3 linked regions of the Oryzias latipes genome follow. The protein of the gene in region 3 purifies or fractionates together with the protein of the main gene of each other region. This does not show direct contact. Links are inferred from orthologs where the notes say so. Each region holds a gene or a part of one and is shown on either strand. Other genes may lie near its edges.

Region 1 (4,977 bases), on a different chromosome or scaffold from region 3:
TTTTTATTTTAAATAGCAAATATGACGTCACAGATTTCCCAAAGTAAAAACCTGATAAATGCAAACGTTTAACAGACTAAGAATCCACTGTGTTCTGATGATGAAAACATGGAAAAAAAAAACACATTCAAATACATTCTGTAACCCTTGTGCTATTAGTTGGGTCATCTAGACCCACTAGACAGTGCTCTGAACCTTTTTTCTTCAATGATTTGTGATCTTCACTGCTGTCCATGGATTACATGAAATCTTTCCACCTTTGTCATGGTAGGGAGAACACGTTAATGTAAGGGTGGGGTCATCTAAGATAGCACAAGGGTTAATCACAAAAGTTGCTCAAACGCAATGCATTGTGGTCTATATTTGACAATATAGTGAGCACTGATGCACATTGGTTTTCGCAGAGACTTCTGGGAAAATTATAGGGCATGTAAATTTTGGAATAGCAGATTCGGAGAGCACTACAAAATATCAAACTCACTTTATAGTTTATACTGAATCCGGACACAACCCCGATCTTGCTTTCAAGTGGTAGGGGGTGTGGCCTTCCCACAAGCTAACTCCTGATTGGCGATAGTGGTTGCCATAGACGCGTTGATTCAGACAGACTAAAACGAATCACTGCTAACTGACATTGTGTGGCTCCAACATGGCGACGTAAGTTTTGCCAAAAAAAGGCGACTGAGTCGGACTTAAGCCGTTCTCTAGAGGTGGCATCAGACTCCAGTTCTCTTTGGTATCGTCAGAATTCCTTCACTACTCACTACATAGTGCACTATTCAGCGAGTTCACCATTTTGTAGTGCTGCCTGAATCTTCTATTCCAGAATTGAGTACCCTGGAAATTTCCCAGAAGTCTCTGCAAAAAACCAGTGTGAATCACTAAATTGGCAAACGTAGACCACAATGCATTGCGTTTGAACAATTTTTGTGGAAAAAAAATGTTTTTTTTTTTTACAAGTTTTCATCATGAGAACATATTTCTTCATAAACAGTCTTTATAAAATGTTAATATTTATTAGGTTTTTACTTTGAGGAATCGATGACGTCATCATATTTGCCTCTAAAAAAAGAAAAAGGAGCGAGCATGGTGTCTAAATTACTTTTGAAATCCGGAGCACTAGATAGTAAAACAGAGTCCGATACAGTCAATGGTCATACAGTCATTTCAGTAGCCGTGGGTTTCCTCGAGGCGATCCCACCCGTTAACAAAAATCCCCGGAAATGACTATAAAACACAAGATGAACGTTATGAAGTCAAACGACAAATCTTTCTTTTTAACAAACCTAAAGTCACACTGAGAGAACACCTGACGAGTATTAATGTCGACTGATCAGAAAGAAGAAAAACTCTAAAGTCAGTTGTATTTTTAAAATCCTTTTTATTATTATTAGCAACTTTACATTTGTACACAAGAACTGATATTAGGTGATAAAGGCTGCCAAACAGGAAGGTCTTTTGGAGAAAACAGAAACATAGCGATTCTAAAAGTGATGTTTCAGGCCTATCAGTTACACCTGCTTCCCTTCATGTATGTCGGCCTTTATTCAAAATCAATCGAACCCAGTTAGTGATCAGCTTTTTCAGAGAATAAGCCATCTGTGGTTTGGGAAAGGGAGAGTGGGAACGCTGGCTCCCTGCACTTAGTGAAGAAAAAAAAGAAAAAAAGCACTGACATGAGGAGGAGAGGTGGGCTGTCACGCTCGCAGCAGAGCGTCGGGATTCCCGCCGGAGCTCAGACGAACCAACTTGATGACTTTAAACAGGAGGAGGAAAGCAGAGAGAGCTGCACGCGCTCAGTACTTCCTGTGCTCCACATCGTCGGGTGGACTCGCCTCCACCTTCCTCTTGCCCACATCTTTCCAGTTGGTGCTCAGAACGGTGCCAGCAGACTCCATCTGCACACACGCGCATGAGATTTCATTAAACCTTGATGCATAACTTTCCGTGTGAGCTGACCTTTCTTGTCCTTGAAGGTTTTCTGAACTGATTTTGTCTAATCTTTTAAAGTGTCTTGAGCAGCCGGTCTACAGGCTTTCTGAAGGACTTTATAGTTTCTCCTTTGACTTGGTTTTTTCTGTCCTCTCTTCGCACTTCAGCCTCTTAAAAGGGCTTAAAGAACTTTCCGATTAAAATGATGTTATTGGCGTTTTTGACATGTTCTAGCGGGATCCTTCTGAGGATTATATAAAGAATATAAAGAAAATTTATATAAAGATATATAAAGAAAATGTAAGCTTAATATTACATTTCTGATTATTTCTTTATACAAATACTTGTGAAACAGGAGCAGACAAAAACATGCTGTTGCAAAAAGACCTTATTTGTGACATTGGGTTCCCATTGCGCCAAGCTCTCAGCAACGAGAAGGGGAATGGGGGGTGGGGTTGCTCTGCGTCATCGTCCCCCCTCCCCCCACAACTCTGAGGCAAATTTCTAATGAACTACTGCAGCTCTGTGGAAACTATGTCCTACAAAACTACAGTTTTTTTTTTTATTATTTTGGCTAAAAACGGCATAATCATAATTAAAATTCCACTGGGATCACGTTCAAAACAGATTAAATTATAATCAAGTGGGTCTATAAAATTGTTTTTTGCCAACTATTATATTCTGCATAGACCAAGCACTGAATGGTTCCTTAAAAAAACGGCAGAGCTTTATCTTGAAGGGATTTCAAAAGGATTAAAAGAAAATCTGGGATATTTGCAGGCAAAATAAGCAAAAAGAAAGGTGCTGGTTTGTTTCAAAATGTGAAATTGTATTGAAATGTGCTGCCTCTTGGCCAGGACTCCCTTGGAAAAGTGTTTTTTAATCTCAATGGGACTTTCCTGGTTAAATAAAGGTTAAATAAAAAAAAAATATATAATATTCCATTCCATTAAAAATCTAGTGATCTTCAAGTCAACACAAATACACAAATCCTGCAGCTCTTCACTTCCTCAGAATGCTACAAATGAAAACCAAAGTGGATCACTGTTCATATAAATGATCATTTCTGCAGAAAGCAGCCCAGATCCACCTCCAACACGAGCCGTCAGTTTGAGTGTGGATTCATTTTTTTTGTCTTTTTTTTAAGACTCCGCAGTCCCCATCTCTTCTGCATGGATTCAGATGACATGACTGTGGCAAATCAATATGCGTGTTGCGATAAGTGCAGATGGCTGTTTGGGAGCGGCTGTGGGTCGCCGTCAGTTCAGCGTCCGTCTGTGCCGGTTTGAGGAATGCTCCGCTTTTCGCTCAGATTTATGCAATAGTTGGAGGACGTCGAATGGGTCCCGAATTGAGGCCAAAAATTAGCTTCCTTCGTGAGCGCAAAGCTAACGACGGGGAAACGAGAGATCACTTCAACAATACTTACACTATTGTGAGGTGAAAAGACCAAAGCTGCCTCTATCAAAAGGTCAGCTCTCCATGAAAAGACAAACTCTTTCTTCTTTAACCTAGATGGCACTTGCTGAATCAAATATAGAGTTAGAATCGCTGATGCAAGTGTGAAAAACAATGTTTTTTTTAAAACACACTTGTTAAAACTGTCAGCTTTGACCAGTTTTACATCTTCAGCTTAAAGGAGGAGAGAGTTTCTGTGTTGCAAAGAGGAAATTTTACCAGTGAAATAAAACTGCAGTGTTGTTACGTGCTCACTTGCAGATAATGGAGTTTTGTTTGTTTTCTTGGCGAAATCTGATCCTTCGGCTGACAGAGCAGATCTCAAGCTGTCTGTGTTTCTATGATCTCCTGTTTTTGTATGAGAATGCATACAAACTTAGACTCTTCGCTTTCTCCTCACTCCCTTCCTGTCTGCTCTGTTAAAAAAAAAAAATCACTGCAAAGCGGACAAGAGGGTTTCAGGGAAGACATGTTCAGAAAGAGTGAGACACTATCTTTTTTTTGTTAATACCCAAAAGGTCTGATATTTTATAAAAACACGGTTGACACACCGCCTCCCCTATCTAAGGTGGGAGAAATGGGTATGGGAGGATAACTGAGAGGTGCAGTTCTTTCCTGAAGGCTTTTATTTTGTAAAAGGATTAACTTCTGCTGGACAGAAGATGAAGAACATCCTATTCAGCTTAATTTGACTGCTCTCCAGCAGCAGAGGAGTCTGCAAACGTTAAAAGTCAAATGCCACTTGGAGGAAAAGTACTCACAAATGATTTGTTCATGGCTCGTTTGACCTCGTCCGAGCCGTCCGTGTAAATCTGCTGGAAGAGCTTGTTGAGTGCCGCGTCTCCCTCCAGCTTCTCGTTTTTCTCCTCCTCGCTGATGTCCGACACCATCTTGTCCCACTTGCGGGTGTAGTGTAAGGATGTGGGGTACGGGTCTGACGGAAGACAAGCACAAGCGAGATCAGCCTCCATTTTTCACTGAAAAGAGGCAGAATTGATCAACTTTATACACTTTTATTGAACTATTTTTAAAATCAAAGTTAACTTGGAAAACTTGCCCATCGATTTGACGATTTTGTGACTCACAAAATTCAGACTGGCTTTATTTAAGTGTAATACAACCACATAATCCAATGAGAGACGGGAGAGCGGGAAACACAATCCAGACACAGATTTACAAAAATGCAGCGCAGAGAGGCGACAGATTCAGGCCAAGTCTGGACAGACGGCCGCGCAGTTGGATGAAGTCAGATGTCAGACCTCAAAGGAAAACAGAAGATGAGTTCTAACTTCTTCTTTTCCATCTCTTAGGTCAGTAATTAACCCTGCCTCTTATAGAAATATGTGTGCTTGACTACTGAGTCACGCCTTGTTGTCATCCTTCTGCTTTACTCCGTCTATTGTTAACTTGTCAGACTAATGAAAGCCGGGAGCGGAGCCTCGCTGCCCACTCTCAATTTAGCAGAGAACAAACAGGTGATAGTTGCAGAGAGAAGGGAATCAGAAACGGTTAAGTAACAGGTGATGGAGGTGTGCAGGAAGACTGAGGACTGACCGGGATTGAAGTGTTTGATGTTGGTCTGCTGCC
Region 2 (4,149 bases), on a different chromosome or scaffold from region 3:
ACTTGGACATATAGTCTGTGACATGACCCCAATTGTCTGCCTTAAGTCTCCCATTATTCCAGCAGGGGCTCAGGAGATCCACAACTAGTATATTCTATTCCAGAAGAAATCCTTTGTCCAAACGTCCAGAAAATGAGAAAATTAAAATTGAGAAACATGTTGTTAGGATCCAAATGCAAGAGGAGCTCCCTCAAGATGTCAGATCTCCCAAAAAAGTCACCGTCCTTTTAAAATGTCATTTGATACTTTATAAAGCAGACAGTCAGCTCACCTTGTTTACAGGGTAAATAAAAAAGATTTGCTCCTCTACGACTGTTGGTTCACTCTTTCAAAGAAACACTTCTCTTAGACAGCAGTCAAGCTGGTAGGATCACATCTCAGAGGTGGCAATTTCCAATCGGTGTCGCAATCCCTGCAAACAACCCGTGTTTTTTGCAGCACTGAGCTCCCATACTCTCGTGTTCCCCCTCTGAGCTATTTTCAGAAACGAGCCGAACCCATTCCTGCCCCCTGCATTCAACAGCTAACACTGTGGAGCCAGTGCTGCTTCTGGCTGAAACAGTCAGTGGATGGGGGAATACGAAGTGTTCTGCACGATGTTCAACCACACCAACATCCTCTCTCATGTGTCTGAGTATGTAAACTTCTACATTTGATCAATGGAGATTAATTCACTACTTGCCAGTCGAGGTACTTAACTGGAACGACACATCCCCATGAGTGTCACCTCGCCATAATCTCCATGAGATTGTGCTGCTGCTCCTCCTCTTCACTCTGAACACAGCTGACTCTCATCGGAGCAGCTGCCATATCTCAAAGAGTTCAGATGATACTGTGGTGAAAGAGGATGATAGAGAAAAGTGAAAAAACAAAAACGGATATGTGAATTTATCAAATGGTACAATCTCTTCTTTAAGACCAACAGTTTAAAATACTCAACGCCTTACCTCTTTCATTTTTACATGGTAGCCTGTGTTCTGCTCTGACATACTGTTTGCTGAGCAGGGCTGTACCAAAACTAGGAGTTAGCCACTTTAACCCTTGTGCTATCTTAGATGAATCCACCCATACATTGACGTGTTCTCCCTACCATGACAAAGGTGGATAAAGGTGGAAAGATTTAATGTCATCCATGGACACCAGTGAGGTTCACAAATCACTGAAGAAAAAAGGTTTAGCGCACTGTCTAGTGGGTCTAGATGACCCACCTCCCAATGTTAAAGTGCCTAGGATAGCACAAGGGTTAAAAACAAGACTCCAAGTTTGAGATTGGATTATTGGGTATTGGATTTCCGCTTTTCAAAATGACGGTCCAGTGTATATCCTGGACAACAAATAAAGCACCACTTTTCTTTTTTTTAATTTGCTAAACTCAAACATGATTTTCAAAGGAGATATTCTGTTACTTCCAAGTCATTCCACTAAAACATGCCCTTTTTTTTCCAAAAAGGGGAACTTAGGCAGGCCCCTGGTGTGAGTGGGTTCATATGGGTGCAGCCTAATGATTCCTGATTTGTTATTGCAGATAAAGAAAAAAAAGAATTGCAGAAATTACAAAGTGATCGATTCCCATTTAATGGAAGAAGTGACAGAATATTTGAAAAAAGGTCGCACTAGAAAATGCAACTTTACCTCAACAGACATCTTAGGTGTTAAACTACCACATAAAGATAAAGATGTACAACAATGTGGGTACAGTACAAAATATAATACAAGATACAAAGGCCGTCACAATGAGGCACAGAGTTTAAGGACACATCCAACACTTGGAAGCACAAAAAGCCTAATTTCTGTTGTCATTTCAGGGACTACGGATGGCTGAAAACCTGACGTTTGTCAGAGTGTGCACTTTAGTAACCAGTAATCCACATTTGAGCACGTTGGGAAAAGGCAAAGGTGGAAAACATTGTACACAGAAAAGCTACCGTTTGGAAATTTAAGCACCTCCTTTAAGAAGCAAAGGCATTGAAGACACCAGTAAGGCCCTCCATTGAAAGTGTTAAATATACTGCTTTGCCAGCCAATGAATAGAATAAACCTAACCTATTCTGCTTACTATTCCATTAAACCAAAACTCTTTTCCTAATGCTGTAACTTTGTTTTCCTTTGCTACATCTTAAAATAGACATCAAAAAGTGTATTATCTGTACAGATACTGGTGCTACTCTCTTAACTGTTCTTCTTTATGGAAGCCATCACTGTTTTATTAAAAAGGAGTTGTTCTTGTTATAATGGAAAACAAAACTTCAAGATGATTGGATTACAATTCCAGGAAAGTTTGCTACAAGAAAAGCAGTTTTGGCAACTTCCAAAAAGTTAGAGCCGATTAATAACGAAAAGTTTCTGGAAGAAAGAGGGCTCTAAAGTATCTGGGTGGGTGTCAAGCCTCAAAATGTGAGCATGAATAGAAATACTGAGAGGTTACTTCGTAATAAATACAGTAGTTATTGTGAGCTGCTTAACTTTGACACAAAAACCCCCAAACATTTTTGTCATATTCTTGAGATTCTTGTGAACACACTAATCGTCTTCTCTTCAGTAAAATTGAATTTGCACCAATATGATATATTTTCTAATGCAAACTGTGCACTTTACAGGTAAAGGGAGGTTTTATAAATGTTCATGTGAACTCATGGGAAAGTGCTGCCTTGAGATTGTACTCTGTCTGGGGTCTTTTCTTTACTGCAGGTTTGCCAGCAAAGTAACAGTCTCCATGGCGCTTCCTTTAGGCAAATGCACACGAGTATCTAAAAAGATGGGCCTTAATAAGAGAAAACACAAGGAAATAAAAAAAAAATGGAGTATAAATACAAAATCCATAACAATTTAAGATCATCAACTCATTCTGTATCTTTTGATTTTTACGGAAGGACAAAACCTACACCTTTATTGCTAACGACAACAGAACCAGGAAGGGTCAGCTGTGGTGCGACGACGCCATCATCGGTCCTCTGATTTGCTGCCACCTCTGCTAAAAGTTTCTGGGGATGTTGCAGGAGGTGGGCAGAGATGGAGCGCTTGGCACAGCAGCTGCAGAGGTGGGACAGCTGATGTCTGTGGGGTACGGGTTCAGGCCCATTTGCTTGTTGTCGAACAGCTTGCGGACGACAATGCGGCAGAAGTCCTCGTCGTGTTTGTGGCAGTTGTCCAGCAGCTGGCGGACTTTGGCGGTGCGCGTCGGCTGGTTGACCACCAGCTCGTAGTCCTCGCGCATCAGCATGGAGCGAGCCAGCAGCGCGTCCAAGCTTTGGTTGAGACAGGCCTCCGTCATCTGGGAGACGATCTGCACGCGCCGCATGGCGATCCAGCTGCTGATGGGGCCTTGTGACAGCGGGGGGGAGTGCGGCAGTGGAGGAGAGCAATCAGCTGAAAGAATGGAGAAAGCAGAGCCATTTGAGACAATCTGATAACCTACATTTGTTGTGCACTAAACTAAAAGAGAACGTCCAATAGTAGCTCCTCCCAGAACATTTGCAAGTCAGACTTGATAACTGAACTCCATCCATTTTCCAAACCTGCCTAATCCTTTTTATGGTAACAGTGTTGCTGGAGCCTATCCCAGACATTTTTGGGTTCATCCAGAACAGTTTACCAGCCTGTTGCAGAGTCACACAACAACAACACGCACACACTCTCACATCCACAAATAGGGACAATTTAGAGTCATCAATGAACCTAAAATGTTACATTTAGCTTCAAAAACAACAAAGACAATCACACATTTTATGTTTACCGTATTTTCCGGACTATAAGTCGCTCCAGAGTATAAGTCGCATCAGCCCAAAAATGCATTATAAAGTAGAAAAAAAAACACAGATAAGTCGCACTGGACTATAAGTCGCATTTTGACGGGAAATTTATTTGACAAAATCTGAGACCAAGAATTCTTTCTCAAACTTGTTTATTTATTCTTTTCATGAAGCATCATTGGCCAACTAATACTCTGTTTTCATCCTGTATTTGTAGAATGTAGTCATTTTTATTGCATTTCTGAATCTATGAAATCATAGATCATCAATAGAATATTATGTTGTTAGCCTTCAAGATCTTACTGTAAAAAAAGTTTGCTGATTCTCTGAGTCACTTAAACTCTTAACACTTAACATACCTCATCCATCAAATTGACCCAGGAACATCCTCTCTGTTCCT
Region 3 (4,998 bases):
GCTGTCTGACAGGCTGTTAACAGACAACCTAAAGAGAAACCAACAGGTGAGCAAAGAAGCAGCTCTGCAGAAAAGAACATCCACCATTGCAGATCAGGTTGTGCAGCTTTCAAATGGGTTTCGTTTTTTTTTTTAATGTGACAGAGCCCCCACCCATTTCTGACCATCTGTGAATCTGGTTTGGTTTGTTACAAAGACTTTTGGGAAGAACAGAATTTCAAACTTTAATTCTAACCATATATGTCTATGAAGTCAAACTGGTTTGTTATACTTGACAATGATTTGCCAACATTAGTGAGAAAGAACGGCATTATACAGTACAGACCAAAAGTATGGACACACTTTTTCATTCAAATGAATGGGAAGGTGTGTCCAAACTTTTGGTCTGTACTGTATTTTAAAACAATTTATTTACTGGTAAAAATCCCTTTGATTTGCTAAAAGAACTGATAAAAATGGATCTATTTTCAAAATGCATTTACTTCATTCATCTCATCTCAATGAGGTGGAACCTGAGATGAGTGTAAAGAGTTTTACATTGGACTGAATATTTGCTAAGGTTTAGGGTTTAGCTGCAGCCTTTCCTTACCTCACCACAGTCATCCTGCTGAAGGACGGCCTGAGCTGCTTCACTCCATAGTCACTGATGTTGTTGTTGTCCATGTCAAGCCGCAGGAGCGTCCGATGGTGCTGCAGGACAAAGTTTAGGGCGGTGCAGTCGCCAGAGTACACGTTACAGTAGCCCAGCTTGATGAAGTACGGCGTGATGCCCTTGGCTGTCATCTGAGCAATCTGTTTGCTCCCCGTCTCAAAGATGCACCGCACCATCCAGAGGAAGTTGGGCAGAACGTGAACCTTAGTGCCGTCATCCCCTTTGTAAGTGGGTAAGCCCTTCATGTGGCTCCGGACCACTGTGGACAGGTAAGACTTCAGCGTAGCCCGTTTTTTCCTCAGTAAATTCGAGCATACCAGATGTCCCATCAAGCCGAGTTGAGACTTTGCCAGGAGCCCGCACAGGAACAGGTTGGTGAACAGAAAGTGCTCATTGGTGGAAAATGGTTTGCTGAGGCTCAAATTCACAGGGCGGCCGATGCAGAAGGTGAAGGGCAGACAAGATGGCTCCTGTCTCCAGCTGCACTCGCTGAAGAACTTGAGGATGGTGCCTGTAGGAGCCTGTTCCTCCAGCACTAGAGCAAACGCAGCCAGAAACGACTGCAGGGTGGTGTGAATGAATTCAAAGCTCCCAGGGCCTCTGCCGGGGTCGTAGTCACTGACCGGTTTCAGGAACCCCAAAGCCAAGTCCTCCTCTGTCAGACCACACTCACTGATCTCCTCCTGACTGCAGATTAAACTTCTGCGCTCCAAGCCCTGAAGAGCCAGCCTGGAAAACGCCGTGAGGGGCCTGAGTCCGGCCCTGAAGGTTTCTGAGGTGCAGCGAGTGCCTTTTCTCAGGGAGGAGGCCGCCGGTGAGGCCAAGCGGCTAAGGAAGACCTCACACAGCAGCAGGAAGATGTTTGTCAGGGTGATGCAGGTGTCAGGCAGGTGAAAGTCGTCATGCATGGTCTGCAGGTGCCTGAAGCTCTTGAAGACGATCCAGCAGAAGAGGGGGGTGGAGCACAGGCCGCAGAGGTGGGGGCTGGCATCCAGCTGAACTGACACAAGTTCCCGATGCTCCTGCTCCTTAAAGTGAAGATCGATGTAAGCCTTCAGGTGGTCTGGAGAGAATCCTCGGAGAGCTACCTTCTTCCGCAACACCCGACTTTGGATCTCGATCCCTGTTCGTGCTGTCATCACCTTTTTGGAGCCTTTCAGCAGCTTCCCACTTAGGAGGCTCATGAGCAGCTGGAGGGCATTGGCCTTGTCTTCTGGAGACACCACTTCAGGAAATTTCACAATGTCCACATCCTCCTGAATTTCATCATAGCCATCAAAGGTGAAAACAACCTTCTCAGGAAAGCGCAGGATGTAATCGAAGACTTCATTGTCCGGGTCATGGTCCGGGTAACAGTTATATTTGAACAACAGGTTCCTGAGGGAAATCTGCTCTGCATCCTTGAAGATGTTGAACATCCTGCAGCGAAACTTGAAGAAGAAGAGGGCATCCGTCTTCAGCTCCTTCTTGGACCAGAGGTTTGCCAGCTTTTGCAGGAGGATGGACTTTCCCACTCCAGCATCTCCCATCACATAAATGACTTCACCCTGGGGATTGAAGACTGCATCATCTCCGAGGAGCTGGTCCAAATTGTCCAAGAAGCCCAGGTTCTCATTGGTGTCGTTTAGTAACTCCATCACAGTGTCGGTGTAGAGGTCTTCCAGCTGGGTCTCCTCCTGCTGCCCGTACGACATGATGAAGCTGGTGTCCCGGCTGATCTCGTACCGCAGCTTCTGGCTGTACCTGCTGACTGAAGGTTTGAACAAACAGTCAGTCAGCATTCTCTGTCGGATTTGCTGACAGTCTACAAATGAAAGCTTTTCTCACATTTATCTGCTGACATCAGGCTAAAATTATTCAAAATAAATATGAATAAGTGATGGTAAAAATATTTGACTTCAAGTCTCTGCGCATTTATTAATTAGAGATTGGCTGCCTTCATGTCATGTGTAAACTTGTTCACACTGAAGGTGATTCACGCATCAGGGGTCTTCACTTTTAATGTTAAGTCAATGTTAAGGCACAGTCAGAGGTTCTGTTCAGCGTCGCAGCCTATTTTAGGAGTCACAGCGTGTCCAGAGTTCAAATATCCTTAACTTTGGTGAAGAACACACATAGCATTAACCTATCAGGTACTCAGCTTTGGCTTGTGATGTGTTAATTATGTGATGAGTGGGTTGAGTCTAAACAAACATGGAGAAGAATCGGATTATTCTCCTCTAGAACATTCCATCCATCCATCCATCCATCCATCCATCCATCTTCTTCTGCTCATCCGGGACCGGGTCTCGGGGGCAGACTTCCTTCTCCCCTGCCGCTTCCTCCAGCTCCTCTGGGGGGAAGCCGAAGGGTTCCCAGACCAGCCAGGAGACATAGTCTCTCCATAGTCTCTCCATCCGCCCAGTGGGACATGCCCAAAACACCTCCCCAAGGAGGCGTCCTGGAGGCATACGGACTAGATGCCAAGCCACTTCAACTGGCTCCTCTAAATGTGGAGGAGAAGCAGTTCAACCCCAAGCTCCCAACGGGTGACTGAGCTTCTCACCCTTTCTCTAAGGGAGTACCAAGACACCCTACGGACGAAGCCCATTTCAGCCGCTTGCATCTGGGACCTGGTTCTTTCGGTCATGACCCAGAACTCATGGCCATAGGTTAGTATTGGAACGAAGATCGACCAGTAAATTGAGAGCTTTGCTTTCTGGCTCAGCTCTCTCTTCAGAATCAGAATCAGAATCCGGCTTATTGTCAAGCTTACACTGACATACGAAATGTCATTCCAGTACAACCCAAACAAGATTAAACATACAACAGAAATACACAGATACAGGTCAAAGTTAATTTAGGCGCAGCCAACGTCCTCATCACAACAGACTAGTACAGCGACCGCATACCGGCGGATGCCGCACCAATCTGCCTGTCGATATCACGCTCTGATCTTCCCTCACTCATGAACAAGACCCTAAGATATTTAAACTCTTCCACCTGGAGCAGGGACACTTCACCCAACAAGAGAGGACAAACTACCATTCTCTGGTCATGAACAATGACCTCTGAACTTTATGATTTTGAATTAATTAAAATAATAATAAAAAATAATACAAAGATTCTCTAATTTTATTCTTATTTTTCATCCTCAGACTTGGGGGACAGTCAGTCAACAAACTGGGTCACAGAGAGACGGAAGCACTGCTGAAAACGTCTATCATTCAGACGCAGCTTCTGCAGTAGATGGTCAACCTCACCGTCCTGGGAGAGTCTCTGAATGATGTCATGAACCCACACATGGAGACACAGATGATTCTATAGAGCTCTTCAGAATTTAATAAACCTGATCTCTCAACATCATCCGTGTCTTCATGCATCGTATGTGAGATATAGTCAATGCTTCCATGTCAAAACTTTTAATGGTAGCTCCTCCCACATGCGTCCAGAATGTCAAGTTTATGACCACATTTTTGGACAGGTGTTGAGTAAATTTGACGCTTGTCCAAACAGAGGTGAATTTGATGCGTGAATTGTATTCTGTGTGAATGCAGCATTACAACTTCTGGTAAAACTTGTTTTTAAATATGTAGATATAACGGTCATTTTTTAACTGAAACTCCCATCAAAACAAAAGACAGAGCTAACTTCATCCTTTCATCTTCATGGAGTATTTTTGTAGACATGGCAGAGGCTGAATGAGGCTCTGCTGCCAGAAGAACACTCACTGGGGTCGCTGTTGACCACTTCCATCCCAATGACACTGCCTCTCGGGTGGAAGTTGATTTCCTCCAGCCATGGCTGCAGGTCTCTGTACGCATCACACACTTTGGAAATGATGTAGATGAAAAACTCGCAGGCCTCTTCCCCCTTACACTGCACCAGCTCCAAGACTTTACGCACCTGGAGGAGACTGAGAAGGTCTTTATCTGGGCAGACAAGTCACTTCCGCGACATTGACGGAGGTTGCAGGCTCCTACCTTATCTGGTTTGGTGGGGATTCGCTGAACAATCTCCACATCCTCCTGGCAGAAAAAGCCATTCAGCAGCAGGTTGTCCAGTAGGCACTGGATGCTGGTGAGCGTGGACACCAGCAGCTCTCTGTGGTAGGTCAGCAGGGGTAGGCACGGCCCGCTGGCTTCTTCCATCTGAGCCCCAGTCGCAGTGCAGCAATCACCTTAGCACAACCAAAAAACTATGACAATGTGAAATTATTTTACAAACTCTCCATGCCATTTTACGTGACACAAAAGAGTGTGTGCTGGAGAGTAGATTTTCAGGAAATCAGTGACAGAAGGTGAAACTCTGAATATTAAGTTTAGGACATCAAAGTTTCAATGAGAAGAGTTGGGAGAACATCGCAG

What was found.
Region 1: the proteins of nod1 (region 3) and sugt1 purify together in Homo sapiens (affinity purification with western blotting; 3 studies listed by BioGRID and IntAct, with this or other methods). This does not show direct contact. The link is inferred for Oryzias latipes from reciprocal best matches to the Homo sapiens genes NOD1 and SUGT1.
Region 2: the proteins of nod1 (region 3) and ripk2 purify together in Homo sapiens (affinity purification with western blotting; 4 studies listed by BioGRID and IntAct, with this or other methods). This does not show direct contact. The link is inferred for Oryzias latipes from reciprocal best matches to the Homo sapiens genes NOD1 and RIPK2.

Annotation. Positions count from the first base shown.
Region 1 is NC_019875.2:17,071,812-17,076,788, reverse strand, and holds the end of sugt1 (protein SGT1 homolog), read right to left. Parts: coding exon 4,945-4,977; intron 4,325-4,944; coding exon 4,152-4,324; intron 1,899-4,151; coding exon 1,797-1,898; 3' UTR 1,365-1,796; downstream 1-1,364. UniProt on the Homo sapiens protein: May play a role in ubiquitination and subsequent proteasomal degradation of target proteins.
Region 2 is NC_019875.2:13,792,640-13,796,788, reverse strand, and holds the end of ripk2 (receptor-interacting serine/threonine-protein kinase 2), read right to left. Parts: intron 3,367-4,149; coding exon 2,972-3,366; 3' UTR 1,552-2,971; downstream 1-1,551. Other genes in the region: Y+L amino acid transporter 2, read right to left, coding at 1-54.
Region 3 is NC_019874.2:8,865,629-8,870,626, forward strand, and holds part of nod1 (nucleotide-binding oligomerization domain-containing protein 1), read right to left. Parts: intron 4,830-4,998; 5' UTR 4,783-4,829; coding exon 4,615-4,782; intron 4,538-4,614; coding exon 4,363-4,537; intron 2,403-4,362; coding exon 590-2,402; intron 29-589; coding exon 1-28. UniProt on the Homo sapiens protein: Pattern recognition receptor (PRR) that detects bacterial peptidoglycan fragments and other danger signals and thus participates in both innate and adaptive immune responses.